4 linked regions of the Ovis aries genome follow. The protein of the gene in region 1 purifies or fractionates together with the protein of each later gene. This does not show direct contact. Links are inferred from orthologs where the notes say so. Each region holds a gene or a part of one and is shown on either strand. Other genes may lie near its edges.

Region 1 (5,415 bases):
TCAAAAGCATCAATTCTTCGGTGCTCAGCTTTCTTCACAGTCCAACTCTCACATCCATACATGACCACAGGAAAAACCATAGCCTTGACTAGACAGACCTTTGTTGGCAAAGTAATGTCTCTGCTTTTGAATATGCTCTCTAGGTTGGTCATAACTTTCCTTCCAAGGAGTAAGTGTCTCTTAATTTCATGGCTGCAATCACCATCTGCGGTGATTTTAGAGCCCCCCCAAAATAAAGTCTGACACTGTTTCCACTGCTCCCCATCTATTTCCCATGAAGTGATGGAACCAGATGCCTTACATAAGCATGTGAAGTAATTAATGCTTCTAATTTTTGCCAATCTGGTGAAATGGTTTTACAGCGTTGTTTCTTGAAAACCAAAAACATCTAACCCCCTCCCCCCCTCCTCCCTGCCCCACCCATACACACACACAGGTTGAACACTGAGGACTGAAACTACCAAAGAGCCTCCTTGCCCCACCCAACAACTTACTGTTTCCATTAGCATGACTCTACTATTCTTGACCAGAATATTATTTTTATTGTCCAAATGGTTGTTCATTATGAAACCCCCAGCCAAAGACTGATGAACTCTTTAATGGGATGCGTGGCATGCGTGCTCTCCCCGTGTCTGACTCTTTAGATCCCATAGACTGCAGGCCGCCAGGAGCCTCTGTCCATGGAATTTTCCAGGCAAGAATACTGGAGTGTGTTGCCATTTCCTAGTCCAGGGAATCTCGCCAACAATTTGTTACAGCAAGATTCTCTGAAATTCTTGCTTCAGCAGTTTCTACCAATACTGGACTGCTTTTCATGAGCTCTACCCAATCCTAAACAAGCCTCCAAACTAAAAAATCCACGTTAAACCAACAGGGCCTCTCTTCGGGAACTGATCAAGTTCTGCTTTCAGTTCAGTTCAAGTCGCTCAGTCGTGACCTACTCTTTGCGACCCCAAGTCCTGCTTTAGGTTACTATTATCACAAGCCTATCTTCTCTGCAAGCCTTAGATTTCCTGAGGGCAGGATGAGTAAGGCTTCAACCGATATTGCAGGTGATACGCGGGAAGTACACCGGTCACCTCAGCGAGTTGAGGAGCCGAAGCTCCAGAAACCTCCGGGCAGGAACTACTTCCGGCTTGAGAAGTGGCTCCCGACAGGCCCCGCGCCCCCGCTGCATGCCGGGACCTTCAGGGTGGAGGTTCGCGGCCCGCTGGAGACGCTGCTCCATCAGGCCGCTCTAGCGCCCGGGATGGCGCCCCACCGAGTGCCACCTGTTCCCGCTTTTCTTCAGAGAAAATGCAGCCCCGTGGATACTTACCCAAGCGACTATAAGAGTGATGAATTCGACCAAACACCAGCTTCCCGCCACCTCTTTAAACCACCGCAGGCTGCCAGAGATAGGCGGCGCGGTTGACTCCCCCAGATTCTGACCGCTCTCTGCTTTAGCGAACGACAGCAAGGGCAGGATGCCCCCGCGCTCCTAATTGGCCGACTGTCTGGGGAGGGGGCCACCTAGATTGGTGACGGAAAGGAGCCGGGCGGGAAAGCTAGCTGTGGCCGGCGGGGATTGGCAGAAGGAATCGGTATTCACTCCCTTCCCCAAGACGTTGGTGGGTGGAGAAGTTAGGCTGGGCCGCCGCGGAAACGCAACTCGTGATTGGCGGATGTGCTTTTCTTCGGGCTCTAGCGGTTGGTGGCTGGACGGTTGATCAGCGCTGATTGGATAGCAGCGTAACGGGGAGGGCCCCGCTCTGGTTCCGCCCTGATCCCGCCCCGCCGCTGGGATGGACTGGCGGAAGGGGAAGTGGGGGGTGGGGGGGGGCCGGCGGCGGTGGGGAAGATGGCGTACCAGAGCCTCCGGCTGGAGTACCTGCAGATCCCACCGGTCAGCCGTGCCTATACCACCGCCTGCGTCCTCACCACCGCCGCTGTGGTGAGCAGCTGCAGCGCCAGCTTCTCATGAGTTGTACTGGATATGCCCGGGTCCTCGGGAAACTGGGGTTTGGGCCTTGGGGAAGCTCAGAGTGGTTGGTCTCAAGGGTGGGTGGAGGCGTACAGGGCTCACTCTGGGGTTCAGTATCGCCCCGTAAGTACTATCCAGTGATCCAGAAAAAGAGGTGCTGTTCCATAAGGGGTGGAGGATCAGGACTGCGGGTCAGTTTCTGAGACATAAAGGCAGGACCTGTACCAAGTCAGGGCTGCGGGAGCCGCCCACCCAGGAAACGTGTCAGAGAACTCTGATGGTGTTCTCAGAGCCACAGAATGATCCTTTGTGACTACTGGGAGGAAGGTCCGCTTAGTGGAGAAACGTAGACGTTGAAGATAGAAAGATGGAAGTTGTTGAGCGGGAAAAGTCTTGAAATAAAGAGACTTACAGAGGTTGGCTGGAAGTACTCAGCCCTCACAGTGGCAGGGTGTTGAGTCTTGGTTCGAGTGAATTCTGTTGCTTCGCACAGTTGTTTTAGGTGATGCCCATGTATTGGGCATAATCCTAGCAGCTGGTCTTACTTGCCCTGAATTTAAGACATTACCACCTGCCTGCCATACCTTCACATCAGCCTCAGCTATTGAAACAACAGACTTTTATTTTGTGTTAGGTATTGGGGAACGCAAAGAATTGTGCCAGTTCTAGAGAACTCTTTACCAACCTTCCTCCAGCTTAAGAAGTAAACCTTAAATAATTCAGTCTAAGTCACTGAGAGTGGGAAATTTGCGAGAACTGCCAGTCTTTTGTAGTAAATGATGATATTTTGTTTCTTGATTGACTTGCTTGAAGAAGTTGTTTTTCTATTTCAGCAGTTGGAACTGATCACACCTTTTCAGTTGTACTTCAATCCTGAATTAATCTTTAAACACTTTCAAGTAAGTGGCCCATCACAACTGCCATTTAATGTTGCAGTTTTTAAACTTGTTTTTCTTACTTTTAAGTAGCTAATCCTGCTATATACTATCTCAAATAACTCAGTGGGAATATTTGATTATAAGTGTTGGGGGGCAGTGGGGGAGTACAAAGCAATGATTCTGCAGCCTGGAACTTTTAAAGAGATTCTCAAGATCCTCAGCATATACCAAATCAGAATCACCAAGGCTATGTTACAAAGTTGCCTGTATGGTTTTGATTTGATGCGTCCAGTTCCTATATTTAGGAATCACTGGTTCAGATTTAGTAGTATAGATTGAGAGGAGACTGGATCCGCTAGTTGTCCAGGGAGAGTCAGAGAGGATGTCCATATGTAGTCCATCCAGCACCATGTGGCACAGTCACCACCTTGGTGTTATCCCTGTGATCCAGTTCAGAAACTCAATAAGTGCTCTAACCCATCTCCCAGGGATCACATCATCCTCTCAAAGACTGACATCTAAGAAAACGCCAGTTTATTAGATTACAGTGAGAGACAGTCCTTTCCAGTAATTAGAATGCTAAAGAGGGATGGGTTTTTTTTGTTCTAGGCTCAAAAGTCTGTTTCTACACCTGCTGTTCCTCTGTCACAGAGGTGTTTCATTCACTTTGTACCCGTTGAGCTCCAGCTTGTCTTTCAGTATGCAGTTTTTGTGTAGCCTTCTCGGATTCATCCTCCTTTGTGTCCCTAGAGTATCTGTAAATACTTTTTTTTATATCTCTCATCTCATACTTGCACTTGTTTATATGCCTGTCTCACAAGGTTGAGGACTCTACAATCCTGGATGCAATTAGTATGCAGTAAACAATTCTGAGTTGTTTCAACTTTAATAGTTAGCAATTCTTAAGAATTTAATGATCGTAAAGGAGTCCCGTGAACCCTTATCACTGCCTTCTTCCTTCTGCACTCACAAGGCCTTCACTGGGAGCTTTAGCTCGATCCAAACAAACAAGGCTTGATTTTGCCTGAGGTTAAACTCTTCACACCATGTGTGAAATTAGGAGTTCTAGGTTTGAGTTCAGAGCCTCCCTTTGCAAGCTGTGTGATATTAGGCAGGCCATTTAAAAATCATCCAAGTCTCTTAGTTACATCATGTGTGAAATGGGGATGGTATTGGTCAGCCTCCTCATCTCACAGGATAATTAAAATCACATGAGATAATAATATTTTAAAACACTTTAAAATGTTAAATGTTCTATCATTGTGAGTAGTTGTTCTTATTGCAGGCGTGGATGATTTGGGTGGGGAAGAGTATATCAGGGTTTGAAAATAAGTGCATATCTACCAGTTAAACTAATTATTACAGTATTAGATCTTTATTTGTAGTGAGTTGGCTGTCTGTTCAGGCTATTCGAACAGAATATCTGTTCGAGTATTTGCTTTAGAATTACTCTTTATTCTGGATGTTTCTGATGGCTAATATAGAAACAATTGCTGTTAGATCCTGTAATTTCCTTTGGTATCTTGAGATTGTTCATTAGATTGTGATACTACATATATTAAAGCTCTGTTTCCTAGTCTGCAGATTAACTTAGTCTTGCCATCACACTTTTCCCATCATTTGCCTGACCATATGGTATGGATTTTTGTGTTGTTTTTTTTTAATACAATCACAATTGCAAGTTTTCTGTCCTGTCAGGCTTAGAACTTTCCAGGGGCAAGTGATATCTTTCAGACTCTCACTGAAGCCGCACAAAAATTCAGTGTCAGATTGTGTGTCTCACTTTTGAGTTTAGAAAATAGAATCACCTATTTGTGGCCTTTCAACCATTGTAGTCATAGGCTATCTCTTGTCTTAATATGAAAATGTTTCCTGGTATGTTTTACTTAATCTGTCTTTCTCTTGATTTTTTTTTTTTTTTTAACAGATATGGAGGCTAATCACCAATTTCTTGTTTTTTGGGCCAGTTGGATTCAATTTTTTATTTAACATGATTTTTCTGTATCCTTTACTAAGTGGGGTTAGCATAGAAACTTTAGTTTTACTTAGGAAATACAGTATTAAGTTTGAAACTATTAACTCTGCTGTTTTTGCTACCATCTCAGCTGTAACTTCTGGCTATTGGCTCAGTGATACACAGAATAGTTGGTCAGTTAGTAATGTTTTGAGGGTGTTTGTAGGTCATTGTTTATTCAAATGGGAGATATTATAAAATGTTTACATTTCTGTCCATGTGCCACTTACAGATCTGATTAAGGGAAACCAGAGTGATTTAATTGAGGTGTTCTTACAAAATAACACCAAGGGGTCCCAAGTGATAAAGCCCAACCTGGAAGTGGGTTCATGGGGGATGGAGAACTTGAGATCTACTTGGATCTCAGTTGCTGGTTCTGCCGGCTGGAAAGACAGTGTTTTGTCTGCCAGGCTCACCATGTTCCAGTTTGTTGAAAAAGAGGAAGGGTTTTGCTGTAGTCAGATGGTAATTGGGGCCACCAGGCAGGGCATTTCTCCTGCACCCCAACCCCCTGGATGAAGGGGGGAATTTGCAGTTCAGCTTATTTGCAGTAGCCAAGG
Region 2 (4,744 bases), on another chromosome or scaffold:
TCAGAGCGATCCTCTTGTCCTGCAGAGCCTCTCAGGGGCCACCTCCTCTGAGAAGGCCTCCCGGAGGATCTGGGGTGTCCTCTGGAAGGACGGTACTCACTACTTCCCTGTAGGGTTTGGTCGTGCCCCCTAGACTGGGACTCGTCCAGGGCCAGTATCCCAGGGGACTGTGGGGTGTGGTGGCAGGTCCTGAGTGACATCTTTTGAGAGCGTGAGGAGTACTTCTCTGTATTTTCATCTTTGTTTTATGTTATACATGATAAAATTGCTCATCTGGGCCTGGGCATATTTGCAAACACAGAGACAGGTACTGATGCGGAGTGCATGATGGGGACCTGGTCGAACCACACTCGTCTAATGACAGAGGAATCAGAACCAGCCTCAAACAGGTCCTGGAGTTTCCTGCTCTGGGCGTTGGCTTTTTCAGCCTCTCCAAGCATTTCTCCCCCCTCCCCTACCCTCATCCTGCCGTGGACTTTTTAGCCGGTAATTCACACTCTATCCTGTAATCTACATTCAACTGCCCCCTTTGCCAGGAAGCCCATCCTCTTCTTTCTGGGTTTGCCAATAACATGTGTTGACATTGCTTTCCCGTGCACCAGGAAGGGGCAGTGTCCAGGCTGGGGAGGAAGTCCTCAAGGACAGGACTTTCCGTCCTCACCCCTGGGCACCAGCCCTCTCCTGAAGTCTGCCTGGTACCGCGTGCATGCATTCTGGCCTCTGTTGGAAGCAGACACACGGCGGTCATGGCTGTGGTCGGTGGGTCTATCCCCCCACCCTCTGACCGGACCAGATGTGGCAGCTCCCGGGTCGGTCTGCTTGGGAGGTCACCTTGCATATTTCTTTTCCAGGAACTTGGCGAGGAGTTCGTTGTTGAGCTTGTCTTCCAGCTGCTGCAGTTTCCCGAGGTCGGGCAGGATGAAGCAGGCGGTGACGTTGCCCACGTAGTCCAGCAGCAGCACCCAGCTGGCGAGCTTGTCACAGTAGTGGAGGTCAAACATGCCCAGGCGGTTCATCATGGGCACCTTCACGGTGGTTTGCTCATTCACGTGGAAGTCCCTCTCCGTGGTGTGCTCGACCTCGAAGGGCTTCTCCCATTTTCCTGGAGAGAAGAGATAGCGGACGTCAGCCAAGGGTGGGAGGAGGTTTAGTATCAGTGGGAGAATAAAGGAGCCTTGAGCCTCCTGGTGAGGTACTTCTCTCTGAGCCTCAGATTTGCGTGTGTGCTCGTGTCCGACTCTTTGCGACCCCATGAACTGTAGCCCACCAGGCTCTTCTGTCGATGGGATTCCCCAGGCAAGAATACTAGAGGGCTTTGCCATTTCCTTCTTCAGGGGAGCTTCCTGAGCCAGGGATCAAACCCACATCTCCTGTGCTCCTGTGCTCCTGCATTGGAAGGTGGATTCTTTACCCCTGAGCCACCTGGGAAGCCCCAAACCTCAGTTTTACCATCTGTAAAATGGGTCTAAAGTGAAACAGCAGTCTACAGAAAAGACTTCGGGGGAGAATAATGCAAGGCTGGTATAGGATCCAGAATTTCAATTTCGTGGAGGCTCATGTGGTAGAGGAAGCATCTGAATCTTGGTCTTCCTGACTCCAAAGGTGTCACTACTTCCTCTGCGCTGCAGTTGTCAGAAGTGTGGTTCGGGGTTTGTTTTTCTGACTCTATTTTGGGAGGCACTGCATATCATACACCTCTCTCTGGTGGGAATTTGCAGTGCATGTTAGGTCATTTAGGGCTCTGAAAAGTCCTGCAGAGATGAAGGTACTTTGTTTAATTCATAATTCCCTAACCCTATTTGATCATAGGAAGTTTTAGTGGTCATGTGTGGAAAACTGAATAACACATGCAGAGATGCATGGCTATATCCCATTCTGTGCTGCCAGGAAAGTTAAGAACTGAGTGTTTGAGACTATTTTGAGGGTGATTCTGTGCAGAAAAGCTCAGACTGGTTATGCAACCTTACCTTTAAAGGATATGTAATTCACCAGAGCAAAAACTGTGTCTTGGTCAAGATCCTTTACCAAATCCACAATTTTTCCATGGCTTCCCTTCTCTACATAATCATTGATCTTCTTCTTGGCCTCCTCAGCATCCCTGAAGTTGATGGAGAAGGCTTTGGAGTGATATAGATTCTTGACATCCTCCAAAAACGTATCAACTAGCTTTGCACTCTCATTGATGAACAGACCATTGCCGGTGGTCAGTTGCAGCTGGTGGTTTGGCTGGTTGAGGGTGTGGAGAAGATGCTGAAAGCCTTTGTGGATCTCAGCCTCTGCTAGCTCAGTGAGGTTGAAACCCAGGCCCTCCAGGATCTCAGTGTGAGTGTTGCCCTTGGCTCCCAGGGAAAGCATCGCAAAGGCTGAAGCGATGCTCACTGGGGAGAAGAAGATGTTGCTGGTATTGGACTGATGGGCCAACTTGTGGTATATGCTGAAGGCAAAGTTGGCCAGGTTGGGGGCAATCTTGTGGCAGGCTGCTTCCTGGTGGGATGTATCATCTGTCTCTTGGACAGCGTGTCCTTGGAGAACCCCAGCCAGGGAGGTGGGGGCCAGGCAGCACAGGGCTGCCAGCAGCAGAAGGCCCCGTGTGATGGAGAGTGCCATTATCCTGCAAGAGAGAGAAGGGTACCATGCCTGGGTCAGACCATACAGTGAGTCCCTTGGCCACTGACAGATGCCAGGTCAAAGCAACCAGTTTATCAAGGATCTATATGCCAAACACTCTTCTATGTCGGCATCACTGAAAGACTCAGAACAATGGGAGGGATTTGATGGCACTTATTGCACGCCAAATTCCATCCTAAACTCTTTACTGTCTTATCTCACCCTGTTCCGGTAACAGTCCTCTGACCTAGGTCATGTGACACCCCTGGGCTTACAGATGAGACCAGGCTCCTAGAGGTTAAGTCACTTGTCCAGGGTTCCAGGACAGATAAGTAAGAGAATCAGAATCACACTCCCAGGTCGTCTGGGTCTAGAGTCCACGTTCTCGATGGCTCTGTTAATATCCACAATGTGTAAGTGCTAATATCCCAAGGTGTAAGTGCTGCTGGCCTTATTTTGGGAAGAGGAAACTGAGGGACAGGAAGTGGATAATGACCCAGGAGGTTGGCTGAATCGGACTCAGGGATGATTGGATCTGGAACAGCCCTAGGAGGACTTCCACTAAAATCTGTTACCTAATGGATAGAGAGGTGACACCCCAGAGTGGGAGGGATCTTGCTTCAATGACACACAGCAGGAACACAGAAGAGCCGTGAGGAAACCCAGCTGGGGCAGGGGGCTGTACCCCAACACTCACAATGAACCTCAGCCCCTGGTAGATGTTCCTGAGCTGGAGGGCTGCCCTCACAGTGAGTCTGTGGCCTCAGTCACAGGACTGTGCTGACGGTCAGCTTACACACCCTGCTTGCCTCCTCTGTCCCAGCTCTGTGCTCAGCATGCTGTGGGTGTTGAAGGTCCTGGCTCCTCCAGCCAAGTGGAATTTGTCTTTGTGTGTGTCGGGAGGTGGGGGCGGTGGTGGGGGTGGGTGGGTAAGAGTTGGAAAAGCATCTTTTCCTTCTCAGACAGACCTGGCTTCTAATCTAGGTCTCTGTCACCACCTGCTGTGTGGCCTTGGATGAGTTGCTTAGTTTCTCTGGTCTTCACTTTGTCGCAGGTAGAAAGTCAGATTTGGGGGATCTTTGAAAGTAAGATCTTCACCAAGTCTAGCCTCCACACCTTACATTGAAAGCACCTGAGAGAGCAGATGGCCTTGAAGGAGAGGCTGGTAGATGGGCAAGCAGAAGCCCTCAGAGGATCACTGGGAGGAAGATGAGCTCCATGGCTGGTCGGGGGAGACAACAGGGAATGGCAAGGCCTGTGGCTGGCCCAGCAAGGTCAGACTCCATCTAGCGATCATCAAAGTCAATGTCTCCTGCAGCAACACAGGACCACCTCTGCTCCACAGAGCTCCCTCCACTCCACACAGACCCCTGCCTTGGGCCACCAGGCCGAGGTCTCCTAAGTACCACCTGCTCTCTTCCCAGATAAAGGAACTGAGGTCTAAGCAGAGGACAGGGTGTGCCTGCAGCCACAGAGCTGGCTATTGATATTAGTCACATAACTAAAACCATCATTTTAATAAAATACAAAGACAAAGGAGCTCTTGAACTTGGCATATGAAAACCCGAGGTTAAAAAGTTGTGAACAAAGAATGCTGGGTTTTACTTACCTCCTTGGACTTAAAGTTTCTTTCCAATAAACAACAAGATGAAGCACAAAACTGGTTTCTTTCCATTACCTTTTTTTTTCCCCCCCCCTGGACTTCAGGCCTCTAAATAACCCAAATAGAGGAGACCGCAGATTATGTAATACCTGTTTATATTTTTCGTAAACTAGCCAGTGGTTTTAGAGCTGAAGATGGTGCTGAGATTAATTCTGTATATTTCCATCACCCTTGGGTTTCTCGCTACCTCCCCACTGGATTTTGGTGTGGTCCTTCGTGGTTGATGGAAATTCCCCATCTTGGCGAGGCTCAGAGATGATGAGGGATTTGAACTCTGCACGATGGGGACACTATATACACCAATTGGCCTCAGAGTCAGAGGCTGAGGCTTCCCGTCGGCACAGGGCTACCTCTGTCCACTTGGTCTTGGGTAAGTATTTACTTGTTTTGGGGCCTCACTCTGCCCAGCTGTATAAACTGAGGTTAAGGGAGACCTAAATGAGGTCCCTGTGTACCAATGCTGGAATTTTAGTT
Region 3 (4,744 bases), on another chromosome or scaffold:
CTGGGGATGCCTTCCACAGTCTTGAGGTCACTGAGTTTGACAATCACTTCTATTTTGTACAGCACTGAATCATCGTAACTGATAACCTGAAGAGGCTGTCTGAATGCCTGGTGACCATTTACCCAAGGTGAGGTTTAGACCCTGCTATCCTAGACATCTACGAGTCCCTGCCTGCTGCATAATGCTTTCTGCACCCTGTTCATTGACACAGAAGAAAACCGAATGCATGAAATCAATAACAAAATAAGACCTTCATGGTATTTTGCATTATAGAAACTGATGCTAAGAAAAGTTTCCTCTTAATCTAGAATTAAACATAAACATTCTTAGAGATTAGAAAACTTTCATTTACAAATAGAAAATATTTTGCACAGAAGAAAAACACTATAAAAACATGATTTAGTTCAAAATATCAAATCTATAAGATGGTATTTTATCTTAAGAACTTAATGAGCTAAAATAAAAATATGTACTATGACCCAATAGATCTATTTTAAGTATCTTTATTTTTAGGTATAGCTTTTTTAAAGTTTGGCCTAGTAGTAATTAAAAGCTCAAGAAACAAAGAAGGAAAACAATGTACTTACACTACATTATACTCCAAAATGAACACTATTAAGCAAAATAAATTTTAATCCTATTCTAACAAATTCCCAATTAGCAGTTTAAACTTACAGTTTTGATATTAGCCATCTATTAATAGTGATACTAGATATCTATTATTTCACTCTTTCATTAACAGCAATTATGGACAAGATAAGAGTGTTTTTCCTTTGGCCTGAAAAAAAAAGCAAATATAGCCACTGAAAAGAAAGAACATACAAAAAATCTGATTTCCATTGAACAGAAATTGGTATTTTCAGAAAGGTTTTTAAAAGTACATTTTCAATATACATGTGTATCTCAGATTATTCTCTGAAAATAATTAATACAGTTTCCATATTTATTGTATTATTTTGTAAAACCTTAATTTATGGCCTATCTAAACTAACCAATTACAGGTGGTAGTTAAGGCACTAAGCTAAGTCCAACTCTTTGCAACCCCCTGGACTGTAGCAGGTCAGGCTCCTCTGTCCATAGGATTTCCCAGGTGGGATTACTGGAGTGAGTTGCCACTTCCTACTCCAAACCAATTACAGGGTATTTCCCTATTGTTACCAAGCACTGCTTCTTAAGGAGAAAACCTTTCCCACTTTGAAGCCATAGACCTTGGATTATGCTAATTTTACCACTTAGGAACTTTTAGCAGTTTAGCTTCCATGCCATTTTTCCATTCATAAACAGGCATGTAAGGTATTTACAACAATCCCCAGTGTAGAGTAAGCACTATGTATGACTGCTGGCAAAAATAATTACAGCTGACCCTTGGGCAACAGAGGAGTGCCTAATTTATCGTCAGCCCTCCATATCCAATTCCTCTGCATCTGTGGATTCAACCACCCAGGGACCGGGTAGTACTTCCTCCTGAAAAATATCCACATGTAAGTGGACCCACACAGTTCACATGTTGTTCAAGGGTCAACTGTACTTTTCATTAGGCTGTAGCAAGGATTACATGAAATAACACACATAGAAGCATTCAGTACCAGAACCCAATCTAAAACAAAGGAACTCCAAAAATGTTTGTTAAAATGAAAGACCAGCTATCCATCACAGGTGAAAAATAATCTGTCAACCACCCTCTAGCTTCCTTGGAAGTACACGGGAACACACCAGAGCAAAAGCCTATGTCTGTATCTTACCTCTGCAGCCATGAAAGCCAACGTGTGCATCCCATGGGTGTAGCCCGTGACGCAACAGACGACTGCTAATCCACAGCAGGAAAGCAGCATGGCGATCAGGAGGGACAGAACTCGGCCGTGGCTGCTCATGGGGGTGGTGGGAGAAAAAGAAAGCTGGAAGGACAAAACAGAAGAAAGAAGCTCGTCTTCAGCATGGCAGGGTTAGACCTGACCGAGAAATTTGAGGTTAATCTTGGTGTCTTTGTTGGGAAGTCTGCACAGAAAAGTATCCCATTACCAGATGGTCAGAATTCTCCAGCCAACCTCAATATGAGTATGCGCTGGTACCTTGAGATCTTCACCGCTTAATTTAGGGATCATAATATCCATGATATTTTCATCTCAAATTCTCAAGAATCCTCCTACTGGTGGGGTTACAAGCCTCTAGAAGCAACTTGCCAGAGTTCTGTCATTCTCCCTCTGGCTTCAACAGGACTCTGGGCAACACCGTGTTCTGTCGTGCTCTTTCTCAATCTTGCTCTAATCCTAACCCCTCAAGGTCAGCTGGGGGGACATTCCTAGCCTGTTCACAGCTGGGACAACTGATGTGTACTCCAGGTGAAGATGGACCACTATCATTGTGCTATGTTAATGGTACACAAGCAGAGGCAACAGCTTGGAGAAGGGAGGTCTGGAGCTGTGACTCCTGAGCAGGAGACTGTAGATACCAAACCAGCTGGGGAGACAAGCAGTACCTGTTCATGGCCCGGGATGGGAGCTGAATTCCGAAAACAGCTCAAGGCTGTGGAACTGAGATCAACCCACAAAAAGGTGCAAGGACCACCATGGTCCATGAAGACTGCATAAAGAAAGGGGCAAAGAGCACCGTGGGGTGGGTTTCACAGAGCAGTAGGATGGCAGGTGCCCATCTGCTCTGGATCTATGAGATTAGTTCGGGAGCACTCAGGAATGAAGATTCTCCTGCACAACTCTGTAGCCAAAAAGCAGAACTTATATCCCGATAGAAAAGGATTCACTTCTCCAGGGACCAAGGGAGCAAAGGGAGCTACCTCAGCGCTGGCCCGGGGGTGGAAACAACATACACTAGTCAGAAAGAGGAGCCCCAAGGGCCAGAGTAAGAAGGGAAAAAACGGAAGGAGATTAGAAAGCATCTGGAAGAGATCAGCTATTTTTCCAGTTTAAGCTTCCCTTTCACTGTGATCAAAACAGTTTGTGTTAGATGAACTGACCCCACATGGGCTGTCATGTAACACTACTGGGGAGGGGAGAAAGCCTCCTGAGGGGACATTGTCCCTGCATGCCTTGGGTGCTGCAGAAAGTTCCTCAAGAAACAGGAAGGAGGTGCCTGAGCCAGGAGCCTTCCGTGTGTCACGGCTCATTCGTATGACACCACTCAGACCTGCCATGTGTATGCCTAAGCAGGAAAAGAAGAGCTTGGGTAAAAACTCACATATTCAAACCGGTCCTTGCAGAGCTGAACCATCAGGTGCAGAAATACCAGTCCAGCAAACCAGAGGCACCACATGACCACTTCTTCCACTGTTTGGACATTCAGCACCCCGAAAATGAAAATGAACTTGTAGAAAATAAAATTCCAAAACTTGTCTTTGAGGTGCTAAAAAGAAAAATATTCGCAAAGGTGAGTACCATTACACCTAACCCGTTCTAGAGATGATAAGCTGGCTTTTAAGGAGGAGAGAATATTCTATTCTCTGTTTAAAAACACTTGTCCATGACAAAACCAAAGGCAAAGAAAGAAATGAGTCCTGTGAAGAACAAAAGTAAGACATCTAGGAAGTAATCTATAGATTCTGGATTGAATTCCTCAGTCAGTTATGAAATTTTAGACATTAAGAGTGGAATAATATTAGTTTAGTATAATATTAATAATATGTTATATAACAGAATAAAACACAGAATAAAAAAGAATGGTGATAGCTACAAGTATCATTTTTACTACTTCTGCTCTCTGAATTCTTAAAACAAAAGAGTAGACATTCTTTTTTTTAAACATCCTTCAGATTCAAAAATAACATATGCTAATTTTCCAGCCATAATCAATAATGTATGCAAAAGTACAAAGAAAAGGTAAAACAAAAATGATGCCTTAACATTTTCATGCCATTTTCTTCCTAAATGTAAAACACTGATTGATGCCAATGAACACTGTCTGAATAGACCACTTTAGTGGTTACAGATGGTCACTGAAATGTTTTTTCACCATTCAAAAAATATTGCAATGAATATCTTTGTACAAGATTCTATTTATTCAGCAATCAAAGGTTATGGGTGTTATTATAGTTTCTAATTATAAGTGTACATGCCCACATAAGTATATCTGCTTTATTGTACTCTTTCTTACACTAAGAATATGCAGTTTTAAAAATATTTACCATCCTGAAAAAAAAAAGAAGGGCAACGAGGAGCATCAACCCAACAGATATTAAAAAGCACCATCAACTGTGGTGGTGGAACCCAAGTGTGGAGGAGGATGGAAACACAGCTCCTAAGGTACTTTTATATAAAGTTTTTAAACTGTGTAAATGTTTCACCAATTCAAAATTTTAAACAGAAAGAAAAGCAAAATTTAAAAAAAAACAGAAATAATTGAACCCACATGTGGAACACATTGATAACAAGACTATTTAAAGATAAGAGTTATTTTGAGAACTTTAAAACACTGTACTGTGCCTAGACACCCTTTGTTCAGAGAATAAAATGAACTAGGAATCCTTAGTGAATGTCTGTTTCTAGATCTGGGGCAGGAAGCATGAGGTGAAGCTAGAACATTCTGTGCCCTGGTTCTGAACCTTTGTTCCACCATCTATTTCCTGTGTGGCTTTGGTTACCATCCCCATGCTTTGGTTTCCCATCTATAAGACAGGTCTTATAACAATAGCACATATCTCATAGAATAGTTGGGGAAACTAAGTAAGTTAATACATATATTGTGCTTAGACAAATGCCACAGTAGGCATTAAGTGCATTTAAAAAAAAAAATC
Region 4 (4,299 bases), on another chromosome or scaffold:
CATATCTTTGTGGCGTCGCAGTTTAATTGGAACCAGAGTGAATTGAAGCTTGGGTTTGGATTGCCTCAGGAACTGAGAGAGTTAGTGACCTTTGTGCGCACGTGCGTTGCAGTACCCATTTGTTGTTCAAGGAGTGGGAAGCAGAGATGAAGACCTCGGGTGCTGTGTTTCCCTCCTGTTCACTGCTCAAGCTTTCCCAGGTGCTCACTGTTGGACATGGTTTCCTACTGAGATTAGTTTTCTCTTATACTCCCATAGTACCTTACTTTCAGAGAATTCTCAAATTTGTTCTCATTGGCTCCTCACAGCCTTCCAAGTTGAAGGGTTAAGTGACTTTCCTCAGGTGACACAACCAAATAGCAGCAAAGCATGCCTGCCAGACACACTGACCCTTTTCAAGTCAGGGTTCTTCAACATGACCAGAAATGCCTAGTTTAAAAGAAGAATCGGTATCCTTTCTTCTGTGACACTTTCTGCTTTCTTTAATAGTATGGAAAAGCGAAGGATTCTGTATCTGAATTAAACTCACACACCACTAGATAACAGCTACTTTATTAACTGAAGAAAGTGCAGGTGAAAGTTTGAAGAACATTTAAATTACAGATTATCAAAAGCGCATTTTCTTTGAGAAAGATGACAGCTTATAAATTCATTTTGTATCATGTGTGATTCTTCCTCAGCTTGAAGAAGAAAAAAGGAGACAGAAGATTGAAATGTGGGATAGCATGCAAGAAGGAAAAAGTTATAAAGGAAATACAAGAAAGCCTCAGGTGATGTAGCCTTCAACCTAGTGGACTTTTTTCAAGTAGGTGAAGATTCCTGGAGTAGAATGTCTTAACTAGATTCTTAAGCCTGTATATGTTCAAGCAGGAAGAAGACAGTCCTGGGCCTTCTACTTCATCAGTCATCCCGAAACGAAAATCTGACAGAAAGCCTTTGCGAGGAGGAGGTAAGTGTCAAACATTAAAGCATTCTGAACAATGACTGGCTAAATTTACCTGAAACAGGATTCTCTTTTCTTGATTCATAGTCTGTAAACAGAGACTAATTCCTAAGTATAGGTTATGAAGATTCAATAAAAGAAACAGATATAAAACAGCCTTCAGCAGCTAGAAATGACCAACCTACTGAACCCTACTGTTGCCCCTGGGCCTCCAGCAAGGGCGTGGGTGCATGTCCTGTTTCCAGGAGGCCACTGACCTCCTTGGCCTCACAAAAGTTAGCATTTGATGAGCAAAGAAAAGGAGGTCACTCGAGGCGCTCAGGAAATAATTGGGATGGTTGCAGTTGTATTTTAGTGTTTTTCACTTCATCCCAGTCCTGTAAGGGGTAAGTTAAGTGAGGCAAGGAGTAGTTTGCCTGTTTTGCATATAAGTGGGTCAAGGGGCCTAGGACGCAAGTTTTGGCCTTTCCAGCCAGAGCTGCCTTGTTTCTTACAAATAACTCCCTCAAGGAGGCATGAACAGATAGATACTCATTAAGAGACCTTTTGTGTGCAGTACCCTGAAGCACTCTAGGTGGTACCATAGCAGTGTGTACCATCCCATCCTTGAGGACTTTCATGTACTTTTGGGAAGATGGGACCCCCACACAGTTGAAAATAAGTAATCCTTTATGATCTGCCAGGAGTTCCTCCTCCATCTGGAGAGAGGGGAGGGCAAAAGCATTAGAATGCTTTGGGAAGGAACCAGTTCTAGGCTGAAGATACTTTCTTCTATCTGGGAAGAGGGGTTTGCTCTGGGTAGGTGCCACAGAGGCAGAGGTGTGGAAGCCTGGCCAACCTCTTAGAGGACTGAGGGGAGTCTGTGAAGCCTGTGGGCTGCCCTTAAAGGCTGGGTTCTAATCCCTTCCTTTGTGTTAGGAACTCAGAGCTGGCTTGTATAGGGGAGTGGTATGTCTGAAAAGAAAATGCTTTTTTAAGTCTTTTTCTTGCTCCAGCAAGAAATAATCTTCTAAGACCATTTTGCAGAGCAAAGAGTGGTAGTATTCAGGAGACGATTGTAGAAAATGGAATGTATGGTGTGCTGTGTGCATGCCTCTAGCATTGCCAGTAATCCAGAGCTTGGGGGCTTGGAATGGCCTGTCTTTATAGGCCTTAAAGAAACTGAGGCACAGGGAGTTGGTGACCAAAGATTCTACAGTAAGGAACAAAACCACCTCATTTAAGGTCTTGCTAAGTCTAGAGCCTGAGCAGAATGGTCGCCTAATGTCTGTTAACTTTAGTAAGTTAATGAGTGGGCAGGGATGAGTGTGGGGGCTGGGGCATGTGGATTTCCCAGTTCTGACTGGTGAAAGCAACAGCAAGTTCCATTCTGTTTTGATTTTTATAATTTATTTTCTGTAGCTTGAGCAGTTCTTACTTGAATGTATTCATTTTATTAAGGACTACAGTTAGAAACCTTTATATACTTAAATTTAGCCATCTTGAGAGGCTTTGGGGGCAATTTTTTTGTGTATTTGGAGGGGATTTTCATGTTTTGATAGTTACAACAGAAGCTGAATGGCTTGTTTTATTCAAGTCAGTTCAGACTGCGATCACATTATAGAAAGTAAGATCAGTATATACAATGCAATAGAATGCAGTCACACTGTAAAGTTTTTTTTGTCACGTGGTAGCTTAAAGTTTTCTGAAAATGTTATGAGAGTAGGATCATATCTTTGCAGTGATTTGCATATCAGGCTTACAGTCCTCTGTTTGATGCAAAATGCTTCTAGCACTGTTTTGCTTCCTTTCTCTCGTCACAGGTTACAATCCTTTGTCTGGTGAAGGTGGTGGAACCTGCTCCTGGAGACCTGGACGCAGAGGACCCTCATCTGGTGGATGAGGCTAGGAATCTTGTTAGTGTCACTTTTGACATTAGCAAGATGAATCCTTAACCCTCAACTCAATTGTCTTACGCACGCTTTTCACAGTCATTAGCCAGGGGGAGGGGCTTTCTTTCTGTTCTTAACTACACTGATGACTTCAAGGATTGAAGGCAGCATAGGGTGTGGACATGGCCACTAGGCAGTAATTGCAGTTAGTCACACTGCACTGAAGCCAGTGACTGTTCATTGATTTTACAGGTCTTTGTTAGTTGGTAGCTAAGGGCTTGCAGATGATTGGTGATCTTGATAAAAGAGACCTGGCAATGATCCTTCAAGTTAAGAGCTCCTGGCTGGTAGGACAGTTTCTGTGACAGCTTGTGTTGAATGATGTCTTCCTTGTAAATGGTGAGCCCACCAGCAAGGATTACTGATGCAGACAGTTGACGGGGTTGTTCTGTAAATTTATATGTACAGAACTGTTTTAGAAAAAAAGAGACTGTAAATATTTAAAAAAAAAATGCAGAGAACATTTTCAGTATCTTTATTAAATTTAAGGAAATTTCTTTATGCACTTGAATTTGTCTGTCTAACATAATACAGCTTTTTATCATTCATAACCTCCCATTAATAAGATTTGCTTTCTCGTCTCATTATTGCTCACCTCAGTGAGCGTGAAAAGTGGGACAGCTGCAGTGGTTTTCAGAGCTTGAGGGCTCCTGGGGGTTTATCCGCAAAACCAGGTACTTGGAGTTGAGTTTCTGCATTAATAGGGCAAAGAAACATCTTGCGTGTAAGTACCTCAGGGGTTATTGGGGTTTTGGGAAGCCCTGTGAGTCTCGCACTCATTTCTTATGTCCTTATCGAGAATCTCTGTGAAGTATGTTATAAAGGGCCAGGTAGTAAAGATTTTAGGCTTTAGGCACAGTCTATATTTTTAAAATTTTTAAAGAATTTTTAAATACATTTAAAAATATTTAGCTTACGGGCTAGATTTGTCCTGCCGCCTGTAGTTTGCTGATCCCTGCTTCATGTCAAGATCATGAGAAAGAATAATGGAAAGTTTTAGACTTGGGTTAAAATATTTCATCTAGGTCTGTTATTTACGTCCAGAGAGATTGATTCCCTGTAGGATATAAACGAACTTTTAAGAGTTCTTCCTTTAAAATATTTTCTGTAGTTGAACATACATAGTTAAGCAGCTATTAACTATTCATTTTAGGAATAGAAGGCATGTTTCAGTATACTATTAGCTGTGACTTTTCCCTCAAACCTCCTTTTTTTCCCCCATAAATTAAGGAATTATCAGGTGTAAACACATAGGAAGAAATGCTGAGTTGTGTGTACCCACCTTGTATCTGGCAGTATGACTGGTGGTGGAGGGGTGGTGCCATGTGACTAACTGATCGGCAGATAATAGAAGAGGGAAGGAAACTAATTAGTGTAACAGCATTTGAAGAGCACTTGCTGTGTGCCAGGCACATACATTTATAG

Evidence for each region. The genes of interacting proteins can lie anywhere in the genome.
Region 2: the proteins of DERL2 (region 1) and SERPINA1 purify together in Homo sapiens (affinity purification with western blotting; 3 studies listed by BioGRID). This does not show direct contact. The link is inferred for Ovis aries from reciprocal best matches to the Homo sapiens genes DERL2 and SERPINA1.
Region 3: the proteins of DERL2 (region 1) and AMFR purify together in Homo sapiens (affinity purification with western blotting; 4 studies listed by BioGRID and IntAct, with this or other methods). This does not show direct contact. The link is inferred for Ovis aries from reciprocal best matches to the Homo sapiens genes DERL2 and AMFR.
Region 4: the proteins of DERL2 (region 1) and SELENOS purify together in Homo sapiens (affinity purification with western blotting; 3 studies listed by BioGRID and IntAct, with this or other methods). This does not show direct contact. The link is inferred for Ovis aries from reciprocal best matches to the Homo sapiens genes DERL2 and SELENOS.

The regions. Positions count from the first base shown.
Region 1 is NC_056064.1:25,956,187-25,961,601, forward strand, and holds the start of DERL2 (derlin-2), read left to right. Parts: upstream 1-1,813; 5' UTR 1,814-1,840; coding exon 1,841-1,933; intron 1,934-2,796; coding exon 2,797-2,862; intron 2,863-4,768; coding exon 4,769-4,842; intron 4,843-5,415.
Region 2 is NC_056071.1:56,840,218-56,844,961, forward strand, and holds part of SERPINA1 (alpha-1-antiproteinase), read right to left. Parts: intron 2,612-4,744; 5' UTR 2,608-2,611; coding exon 1,968-2,607; intron 1,103-1,967; coding exon 832-1,102; intron 1-831.
Region 3 is NC_056067.1:23,723,332-23,728,075, reverse strand, and holds part of AMFR (E3 ubiquitin-protein ligase AMFR), read right to left. Parts: intron 3,358-4,744; coding exon 3,193-3,357; intron 1,896-3,192; coding exon 1,743-1,895; intron 1-1,742. UniProt on the Homo sapiens protein: E3 ubiquitin-protein ligase that mediates the polyubiquitination of lysine and cysteine residues on target proteins, such as CD3D, CYP3A4, CFTR, INSIG1, SOAT2/ACAT2 and APOB for proteasomal degradation.
Region 4 is NC_056071.1:4,626,883-4,631,181, forward strand, and holds the end of SELENOS (selenoprotein S), read left to right. Parts: intron 1-680; coding exon 681-770; intron 771-867; coding exon 868-949; intron 950-2,745; coding exon 2,746-2,825; 3' UTR 2,826-3,375; downstream 3,376-4,299. UniProt on the Homo sapiens protein: Involved in the degradation process of misfolded endoplasmic reticulum (ER) luminal proteins. Participates in the transfer of misfolded proteins from the ER to the cytosol, where they are destroyed by the proteasome in a ubiquitin-dependent manner.